Cricetulus griseus: one gene and its partners. The protein of the gene in region 1 purifies or fractionates together with the protein of each later gene. This does not show direct contact. Links are inferred from orthologs where the notes say so. Each region holds a gene or a part of one and is shown in the gene's direction. Other genes may lie near its edges.

Region 1 (3,517 bases):
AGTCATCTGTCTACACTCACATAAAGTACATAAGATATATTAATTCTGTTTCTTGAACATTTCTGTCTGAGTACTGTACATTTATTTGCTAAGCTTCTCATTACACAGGGTCTTAAAAGCCCTTTAGTTACCTATGTTTATTGTCCTGATAGTATCAGATTCATCCTTAATGATCTGTCCATTATATAAGCAGAGTGAAATATATACTCTGTACTGTTTTTAGTAATGAATCTGATTAAGTTTCATTCTAAAAGGCGTAACACTGTCACTTTGAAAATCTTATATTTAAAAAAAAATGCTTTTTATGTCTGGGTGTTTTGTTGCCTGTGTACATGTACACCGTGTGCATTCTTTGACTGCAGAAGCCAGAAGAGGGCAGCATATACCCTGGAACTGGCATTACAAATGGTTGTGAACTGCAGTGTGGATGCAGAGAATCAAACACAAGTCCTCTGGAAGAGCAACTAGTGCCATCTGAGCCATCTCTTCAACCCTAAAAAATATTGTTTTAACTGTTTGTGGGAGCTCATTTTTCTCTAAGCCATATAAGTCTATTTTTTCATTGTTATCAAAGAATTGAACAAGGAATTATTATTATTATTATTCATACTGGAGGTTGAACCCAGGATCTCGGTCATGTTAGCCACATGGTCTACCACTAGAGCTCTACCACATGCTCTACCCATTTTCTGAAAAAGGCATTGATATTCATTCATATCAAGTTACTTTCCTCATGTATAAGTTATTTTTAATAGCAAATTATAAGAATAATCATGTGATTAAAGCTGGAGAATAACTTAAGATGTTATCTTAGTCAGGGTTTCTATTGCTGTGATAAAACACCATGCCCAATGCCGGGCGTTGGTGGTGCACGCCTTTAATCCTAGCACTCAGGATGCAGAGGCAGGTGGATTTCTGTGAGTTCAAGGCCAGCCTGGTCTCCAGAGTGAGTGCCAGGATAGGCTCCAAAGCTACACAGAGAAACCCTGTCTTGAAAAAACCAAAAAACAAAAAAACCCAAAAAAACCCAAAAACACCATGCCCAAAGCAACTTGGAGAGGAAAGGGTTTATTATATCTTGTAACTCTCATGTCACAGACTATCACTGAAGGAAGTTAGGGCAGGAACCTGGAGACAGGAACTGAGACAGGGGCCTTGGAGGATTGATTGATGCATATTGGCTTACTTCTCATGACTTATTCACAACCTAGGACCACTTGCCAAGGGGTGGTACCACTCACAGTAGACTGAGCCCCCTCCTACATCAACAATCAAGAAAACACCCCACAAGCTTGCTCACAAGCTAGACTGGCAGGGGGATTTCTCATCTGAGGCTCCCTCTTCCCAGATGACTCTAGATTGTGTCAGTGACAGAAAACAACTAGCACAGAGGTGAATGTCTGATACAAGAGGTCACTGAGATGCCCCTTGATATTTGCAGCATGGTACTTGTGCACATCTAAGAGTTCAGGAAATGTTTATTCAGAGAGTAAGGTGACCAGTTAAGTGACTAGCTCCATACCTCACAGTTCAGTGTGGTAAGGCCAGGCTCCACCTCCCAGTCTAGTTCCTTGTCATGTGCTTTCTTCCCCATATGATGGCACTTTTCATTTGCACAGGATTTGTCTTTGCTTGAGTTAGCAGTTATGCCTCAGCTTCAGGTTTCTGATCCCTATTCTCTTTTCAAATACTTAATCTTGTAACATAATTGAAATACACATTTTTAATGTATTTATGACAAATTAGTGAAGATAATTTGATATATTAAAATATATAATTAGGACCAGGCATGGATGTGCATATCTTTTTTGGGGGTGGTGGTGGTTTCAAGACAAGGTTTCTCTGTGGTTTTGGAGGCTGTCCTGGAATTAGCTCTTGTAGACCAGGCTGGTCTCAAACTCACAGAGATCTGCCTGCCTCTGCCTCCCAAGTGCTGGGATTAGAGGTGTGCGCCACCACCGCCTGGCCTCCTTTTTTTTTTTTTTTTAAGATTTTTATTTATTTATTATGTATACAACATTCTGCCTCCATGTATGCTTGCAGGCCAGAAGAGGTTACCAGATCTCATTATAGATGGCTGTGAGCCACCATGTGATTGCTGGCAATTGAACTCAGGACTTCTGAAAGAGCAGTCATTGTTCTTAACCTCTGAGCCATCTGTCCAGCCCCAGGGATGCATATCTTTAATCCCAGCATTTAGAAGGCAAAGGCAGGCAGATTTCTTTGAGTTCAAGGCCCACCTGGTCTACCAAGGAAGGTCCAGGCCAGCCAAAGCTACATTATGACCCTGTCTCAAAACAAGAAAACAAAAGTAAAGAAAAACCCAAAAATAAAATTAGTCATTTCCTTCTGTTTATAAAATTTCTACTGGTTTTTCTTTTGAAATGTCTTAATGTTAATGCCTTTTCCTTACTGAACATCTTTTTTTTTTTTTTTTTTTTTTTTACAGCCCCCCCCCCTTTTTTTTCCCCTGCTGTGAAATGCTGAGGATTCTGGGCTTTCTCTGTGTCCAGAGTCTGCTGTGAATAACTGTAGGTGTTTATGTTGCAGTTCTCAGAAGCAGAGTTTGGAGCTTACTAGTGACCTCAGCATCCTCCAGATGACCAGGAAAGAGCTTGAGAACCAAGTGGGATCCTTGAAAGAGCAACACCTTCGAGACTCAGCTGACTTAAAAACTCTTCTCAGTAAGGCTGAAAACCAAGCAAAGGATGTTCAGAAAGAGGTAAAGCGAAAAGACATGCTCAGCCCAATTATGGTTGGACTTAAAGCCAAAGGCAAATCAGATATCCATGCTTCTTAGAAATAAAGAAAAGCAGAAAGCATATTACCTGACAGTTGACACTTGGAACATCCCAGCCTGGTAATTACTAGCTGTGCGTCATGGTCCATTATTGAGAGAATTTATCAAGTGTTTGCTTTTAAACAGACAACAGAGCTAGTTTTTAATTTTTCTCTAACAGTTGACTGACATGAGAGACCCTTTGTAACAGATTGCGTGGTCTGTTTATCAAGGAGTGTGTCATATTAAATGAAGCATTCTTTCAGAAGGCAAACTACAAACTTGGACAACCCTGTAGTACTAGAGCTATATGCTCCTGGGAAAGTGGCTAAAAAGTCACTTACCCTGCTGTGGTGGCTCATGTGTGTCATTCCAGCACCTGGGAGGCTGAGGCAGGAGGATTGGAATGAGTTCAAGGCTTTGATGGGTTACACAATGAACCCTAGCTCAAAACACCAAAGTAAAATGTATATACAGATGGGCAAGGTGATGCACACCTACAGTCCCAGCACTTGGGAGGTGGAGCAGGAGAATCAGGAGTTCAAGGTCAGCCTCAGCTACTTAGTGAGTTTGAGGACAGCTTAAGCTGTATGAGATGTATGTCAGAAAACAAGAAAAAAAGTTAAAAATTCATCTGTATACAGGCAGCCAAATGCCTGTTCTGTGGAACTGTATTCTCCTCCTCTTTTTTTCTTCACAAATATACATAAGTTTTTATGTAATTTTGCTTATAACTTG
Region 2 (3,517 bases), on another chromosome or scaffold:
CAGCACAGACTGTCACTGAGTGAACTTCTAAGTAAATCAGGAACTAGATGGGCAGCATCATGGGGAAGATGGAAGTTGTGTCTGGCTGGATCATTTGGGAGATGGGTAGATGGGATTCCTAAGGCTGACCTCTGAAGTGTTTGTGGGATTTGGTCCTTTACCAGAGGGTTCTGGAATCCATCCCCACTATGGATGCCTAGGCAGAAGGTGCTGTGTGTGTGCTGGCGACTCATCAGGCACTTGTGTTTCTAGCACCACAGTGTTGCAGAGCATGAAGCTGGGGGTGGATGTGAACCGCCACAAGGAGGTCATCGTTAAGGCCATTTCTGCTGTGCTGCTGCTGCTGCTCAAGCACTTTAAGTTGAACCACATCTACCAGGTACCTGTAGGGTCTGTCTGCCTTCGTGTGCACTGCGCCTGTGCCTCAGTCCATACTGCTCCCTAACCCGAGAATAGGGCTTGGCTTTGAGCCCACTTAAGCTCTCTGCATGAGCATTCTAATATGAGATTATCCAGCCAAGGCTTTTTGTCTCTAGAGAAAAGAGAATAAGAGGCATGCTTATTTTTCTTCTGTTGGTTTCAGTTTGAATACATGGCTCAGCACCTGGTCTTTGCCAACTGCATTCCTTTGATCCTGAAGTTCTTCAATCAAAATATCATGTCCTACATCACTGCCAAGAACAGGTGATAAGGACCAGGGCCAAGAAAGGGTAGAATAGGCAAATGGCAGGATTTCTATCTGGCCTCTCCATTGAGACTCCTCAGCAGACATTTTTCTGAGCATCTATGAGTCAACACTTTGCCAGGCATCAGGAGACAAAATGAATGACAGTGTGTCTGTTTTGAGGTTAGCTAGTCTAGTGACTTTGTTTTTGACCAGGAGGCTCTCATCCTAAGCTCCAGAATTGCCTTCACTACTACTTCTATCCTTCTTCCCTTTCCCCTCACAGTTCTCTGTAAGGAGCTTGGCCTTCCTTAACACCCACCTTGTGCCCGCTGGACCTGATAGCACCTGCTTATCAGTGTGAGACATCACAAGGGAAGTGTCTGGGTAGCTGTGGCTTCTAAGAGAGCTTGGCATACATCAATTGTCTTGAGCCCTACCTCCTAGATTCATGTTATGGGGAAAGCTGCAGGTTACTAATTAGATTATAAACTGAACCTGTCATAGGGAAACTTTCCACATGTATTGTAGCAGATAGTTCCTCATCTTATAGTCAGGGTTAGAGCAAGTAAGGTAGATTGCTACTTCTGCTTCAGTTTAAATCATGGCTACTGACAGACCCAGCCTTTACTCACGGTGCACACTGTGTCTTCTTGCATTCTTCAGCATTTCTGTCCTGGATTACCCTCACTGCGTGGTAAATGAGCTTCCAGAGTTAACTGCAGAGAGTCTGGTGAGTGGCTGGGATTGCCCTGGCTATTCCTTTGTTATGAGGGTTGCCTCCTGCAAAGCAAAGATAGAGGAATCTTTCAGATGAGGTCACCTTTGGCTTTTAAAATGCCAGAAATGGCCATAAAGTTGGGGAGGGATTTTATAGGGCAGAACACCTGGGATAGGTTAGGGCTAGTCAGGGAGCATGTTCTGCAGGGGCTGCTGACCTAGAACTTGCCTACTCAAGCTGCTTGCATCTTCCCACTGAAGTCTGGGGCTATGGTTCCTGGTTTTATGGCCCATGCTTCCTTCAGGAAAAGTCTATTGAGTCCCTGCTTCTCTTTCAACTTGTGGGATGGAGTTTCCCTTTGGCTGTGAGACAGAGAACTTGATGCTAGAAGCATTGACACATGGCCACTGTGGTATATTTGTCAAGGCCATTGGACACTGCTGAGCAGCCTGTGGCTGCTTTTCCTTTTCCTTTTCCCTGCAGGAAGCTGGTGACAACAACCAGTTTTGCTGGAGGAACCTCTTTTCTTGCATTAATCTTCTTCGGATCTTGAACAAACTAACAAAATGGAAACACTCAAGGACCATGGTGAGTCACTGCTGCAGCAAGTCTGGAACTGGGAACTCACAGAGGAGTGCCACGTGCTATGCCTCCCCTCACCTGGGGCAGGGAGTCCTCAGGGTGGAGCTTTTGTTTTTTGTTTGTTTGTTTTAAGATTTTATTTATTATATATACAACATTCTACTTCCATGTATATCTGTACACCAGAAGGGGGCACCAGATCTCATAACAGATGGTTGTGAGCCACCATGTGGTTGCTGGGAATTGAACTCAGGACCTCTGGAAGAGCAGTTGGTGCTCTTAACCTCTGAGCCATCTCTCCAGCCCCTGATTGTTTGTTTTTTGAGACAGGGTTTCTCTGTGTAGCTTTGGAGCCTATCCTGGCACTTGCTCTGGAGACCAGGCTGGCCTTGAACTCACAGAGATCCACCTGCCTCTGCCTCCCAAGTGCTGGGATTAAAGGCATGTGCCACCAACGCCTGACGAGGATGGAGCTTTTGAGGCAGCATTGTCCTTACTCAGTTCTGCAGACATCTGGTTCTTGGTAGAAGCAGAAGCTGGTAGAGACTCTCAGTCATGCACTGAAACAAATCCACCCTTACAGATACATCTTCCGTAGCCTCTTGATCCTGATTGGGAAATGATAGTCAGGGGTCCGAGAGCCGCCTTATCCCTGATCCTGACCTTTGGACAGGGCAGGTCCATGAATTCTCAGAAAGGAGATTACAGAGTGACCCATAATTAGGGTGACCAACCCTTGTGGTTTGCCGTAGCTGTGCTAGTTTTAGTGCTTAAAGTTTTCTCTGTGTACCAGAAAACCAGTGAGTTTAGGAGAAACTGCATGGCTTGTCGCCCTGTTCCCTACCTGGCAAGTGTTAAGTGACCATGTAGTGGCACACACACTTACTCCTTTCCTTGCAATGGCTGTCACTGTGTCCACACAGATGCTGGTGGTGTTCAAGTCGGCACCCATCCTGAAGCGGGCCCTGAAGGTGAAGCAAGCCATGATGCAGCTCTATGTGCTAAAGCTGCTCAAAGTGCAGACCAAATACTTGGGGCGACAGTGGCGCAAGAGCAACATGAAGACAATGTCTGCCATCTACCAGAAGGTGCGACATCGGCTGAACGACGACTGGGCATACGGCAATGGTAAGGCCATTTGGGAAGCAAGATTGGAAGAGGGTGGGACAAGGCACACTTTTGACTCCTTGCCTCTGGTACCTTAGCTGTTTCTACCCTGAGGCACAGACGGGGCCTGGCTAGCTGGGCGGTGGTGGTGCACACCTTTAATCCCAGTATTTTGGAGGTAGAGACAGGCGATCTCTGTGAGTTTGACACCATCCTGGTCTACAAGAGCTAGTTCCAGGACAGGCTCTAAAAGTACAAAGGAAAACCCTGTCTTGAAAAACAAAAAACAAAAACAAAAAAAAAAGGAACCTGGCTCTAGTTTTTGTGGCACCAAGAAGGGAGCACCAGGCAAAAGTGGAAAACTGCTCAGTGTCTGTGGTCATCTGTTTCTCCATCTCTCTACTCTAAATCATGTCTTTTCTAGAAATTGCCATGAGATTCTG
Region 3 (3,517 bases), on another chromosome or scaffold:
AAATACTCTGTTATTTTGACATTTTAGATCACATCCTTTACTTTGGTTTTCTTTTCACCAAGATAGTATGAAGAATCAGGTGTGTTTGGGAAATTTATTTATTCATTTTGGTTTTTCAGTTTTTTGAGACAAGGTTTCTCTGTGTAGCCCTGTCTGACCTGGAACTCGCTCTGTAGACCAGGCTGGCCTCGAACTCACAGAAATCCACCTGCCTCTGCCTCCCAGGTGCTGGGATTAAAGGTGTGCACCACTCCTGCCCTGGTTTGTTTGGGAAATTTAAAAATGGATTTTCTCATATTTCACTGAGACCTACCCTGGACATTAATGAAAAAAAAAATGTGTGTAAGATTCTAGTGGTATCTCACTAGAGCACCATAACCCACTTATAAGGGAGTTTGTAAGTCTTTTTTTTTTTTTTTTTTTTTTTTCCTCTGTCATCTTGTGAATAAGAGAATTCAGGCACAAGAGAGCTAACTCTTGTTTTTGTAACACTGTGTAGTGGTGGTGGGATGCAGTCTAATATCTTTACCTAATTCTAACCTAATTCTTTTTTTTTTTTTTTTCGAGACAGGGTTTCTCTGTGGCTTTGGAGGCTGTCCTGGAACTAGCTCTTGTAGACCAGGTTGGTCTCGAACTCACAGAGATCCACCCGTCTCTGCCTCCCGAGTGCTGGGATTAAAGGCATGTGCCACCAATGCCCGGCTCTAACCTAATTCTAAACCTAATGTTCTTGTAGCACCCAGATTGAATGAACATAGAACCTTGATTTTGATGAGAAGCTTTTCAGGGAAGATGAAACAGATTCAGGGATGGCAAAAAGATTTGCATATGCACTGTTCTTGTGATACTAGCATGAAAGAGGCTTAGGTCTTAATGAGTTTCCATATTTTAAACATTGCAGCATATAGAGGGTAAGGACAGAAAGACTGGTAATAGAGTGGCTGTAGGAAAACAGACACGTGTTGTGTTGATGTGGAGAGAAAACAAAAGCGTTGTGTTCAGTCTACATGGGCTCAAATCATAAGCTCATCACTTATGTGACCTTGGATACATCATGTGACCTTTCTAAACTCTTAAGTTTTACTTGTAAAATAATCACCTCTTTGTCTTTAAAAAATTTTTATTTTTTCAAAGAATAATAGGCCTAGGTGAATATTTTCTAGCAGATATCAGGGATGGTGCATGCAAGCTGTTACAGTCATTTGAAAATTGTAATTATCAAATAGATCTGATAACTTTTTGGGTGCTGGGGATTAAGCCTAGGGCCTTGCTCATGCTAGGTGAGTGCTCTCCCACTGAGCTACACCCTGGTTCCCAAATGTGAAGTTTTAGGATGCCATTTTTTTCCCCCAGGTACTTAAGCTGTCTCAGTTTTGCAAATACAGCTAGCTAAGCTTATAAGCTTTAGATACTTGGGATAGAAAGAAGTTCTGTAGGTTGATTGTGCTAACCTGATCTTCTGTCTTGGTGCTCTGACTTTATATAAATGGTCTTCTTTCCCAATTGCAGGTCTTATGGCAGCGTGTACAAGGCGATTCATAAGGAGACTGGCCAGATTGTTGCTATCAAGCAAGTGCCGGTGGAGTCAGATTTGCAGGAGATAATCAAAGAAATCTCCATAATGCAGCAGTGTGACAGGTAAAGGCCTGAGGGACCCTTTGACAGAGTGAGCTGCTGTGTTTGCTGTGATCATAGAGTTGGACACCTGCAGATTGAGACAACTGCAGAAGGGCGGGATCAGTGGGATCACTGCTTATTTTCTGAAAAATAGGAGAAAGCTTATATGTTTTGTAGCTAATTTGTAGTTAACATTTTTGCATTTTTCCTTCATCAATTAGCTCTTTTAGAGATGAGGAAGAGACAGACAGTGGCTCGTTCTTTCTTGCTTGCTTGCTCGCTCACTCACTTACTTGCTCTCTCTTACTTTCTTTTGAGAAAATTTTCTGCTGAGATAATTCAAATGCCTTTCAGTCCCAGAAACTGTAGACTGTCAGATTGGTCTATAAAAAGGGAATATTTGTTTAGGTATCAACTGTTCTTTTTATTCCAGTTGAGAGTTCTTAAGTGTTTTAGTTTTGAGGAACTAAGATTTGTCAAATGCTGTAAGCAGGAAGTTGGCCTCAAAGTCAACCACAAAAGAGCACGTGATCTGCTCTGAAGTTCCATGACAACATGAGTTGTCACCAATGGAGCAGGCTTACCCAGCACTGTTGAGATGTGAGCGACAAGTCAAATTGAGGACAGTGCTAGGTCTAGGGAGTTGGAAGTGAGGGTGAAGAAGTTTAGCACATGAGGCGGCAATTTTGGTGAGATCAGTTTATTATCCGTTTTCAACTTCAGCAGTAGATTATGTGGGGGCAGTGGATTTTGTTATTTTGCAGGGACCTCAAATCTCCCCAACTTTGAAGTACAGCTACTGCTCATCTTCTTCCCATTGTATCTTCTTTTTGTGGTTATTGTCTGCTATAGAAAAACCTCCCTTTTTGTTTTTCCTGGTTGGATTGGCCAGAATTAAGTTAGCAGTTTTTCTTTTTATCTATATGATTTTTGTTTTTACTCAAACTTCAATTTACTTTACTCAAACTCTTTTACTTGGCAAATTGGGACTATATATAAACAGTATGGAAATGCTTCTAACTGAAGTGTTTTTTGTTTTTTTTTTAAAGATTTATTTTTTACCTTTTTTTTTTTGGTTTTCTAAGACAGGGTTCCGCTATAGCTTTGGAGCTTGTCCTGGAACTTGCTCTGTAGACCAGGCTGGTATCAAACTCACAGAGTTTGTCTCTGTCTCCTGAGTGCTGGGATTAAAGGGGTGCACCGCCACCATCTGGCTATTTTTACTTTTTTATGTGTATGCCTGCATGTATGCATATATGTGGACCACATGTGCCTGAAGACTGTGGAGGCCAGAAGATAGTGTCAGATCCCCTGGAAATGGAGTTATAGACAGTTGTGAGCTGTCATGTGGGTGCTGGAATCCAAACCTAAGAGTATCATGTGCTAAGAATTGACATTTTGAAGATCCTTCTGGGTTAAGCCTTCTAAGAAAAAAAGAAAGACATGGCAGAGTCCTTGTGTTCTGAGAGTTTTGTTTGTTTGCTTCTTTGATGTATTTTTGTGTCACTGTCTTTTGAGTAAGGGGAGGGTTTCGGGGACATTTGCCTGGTTTATTAAAGCAGCTGGAGAGAATATCAGTGATTTTTCTCCAATTTTTGGGAGTTCATGGGCCAGGCTTGTATAGTTCAGGAAATCTAGCTGACAGTACAAGACTGCATAGAACATATTCCAACAGTGTGTTTGCACAATAGAGAAAGTGACTACAGGAGGCGAGGGAAGAGAGCACACGGGATTATTGTGAGCTGTATTGCTTGCACTAATGTTCATTTTATGTGCTGTGTTTTCCTTCTGTCCTTGTCACTGGTATATGTCCCGAGAATGAAGGGGCATTTGAAATGGAAAGTCCAGGAGGTCAGTGTAGTTTTAATATCTTTGGTTGCTAGGCAACCTGGTTTCCAAC

The links.
Region 2: the proteins of Slmap (region 1) and Strip1 purify together in Homo sapiens (affinity purification with mass spectrometry; 4 studies listed by BioGRID and IntAct, with this or other methods). This does not show direct contact. The link is inferred for Cricetulus griseus from reciprocal best matches to the Homo sapiens genes SLMAP and STRIP1.
Region 3: the proteins of Slmap (region 1) and Stk4 purify together in Homo sapiens (co-immunoprecipitation; 3 studies listed by BioGRID and IntAct, with this or other methods). This does not show direct contact. The link is inferred for Cricetulus griseus from reciprocal best matches to the Homo sapiens genes SLMAP and STK4.

What each region holds. Positions count from the first base shown.
Region 1 is NW_023276807.1:193,255,540-193,259,056, forward strand, and holds part of Slmap (sarcolemmal membrane-associated protein), read left to right. Parts: intron 1-2,550; coding exon 2,551-2,722; intron 2,723-3,517. UniProt on the Homo sapiens protein: Associates with the striatin-interacting phosphatase and kinase (STRIPAK) core complex, forming the extended (SIKE1:SLMAP)STRIPAK complex.
Region 2 is NW_023276806.1:49,542,696-49,546,212, forward strand, and holds part of Strip1 (striatin-interacting protein 1), read left to right. Parts: intron 1-252; coding exon 253-379; intron 380-583; coding exon 584-684; intron 685-1,330; coding exon 1,331-1,397; intron 1,398-1,868; coding exon 1,869-1,973; intron 1,974-2,890; coding exon 2,891-3,095; intron 3,096-3,517. UniProt on the Homo sapiens protein: Plays a role in the regulation of cell morphology and cytoskeletal organization. Required in the cortical actin filament dynamics and cell shape. Part of the striatin-interacting phosphatase and kinase (STRIPAK) complexes.
Region 3 is NC_048599.1:15,432,601-15,436,117, reverse strand, and holds part of Stk4 (serine/threonine-protein kinase 4), read left to right. Parts: intron 1-1,509; coding exon 1,510-1,638; intron 1,639-3,517. UniProt on the Homo sapiens protein: Stress-activated, pro-apoptotic kinase which, following caspase-cleavage, enters the nucleus and induces chromatin condensation followed by internucleosomal DNA fragmentation.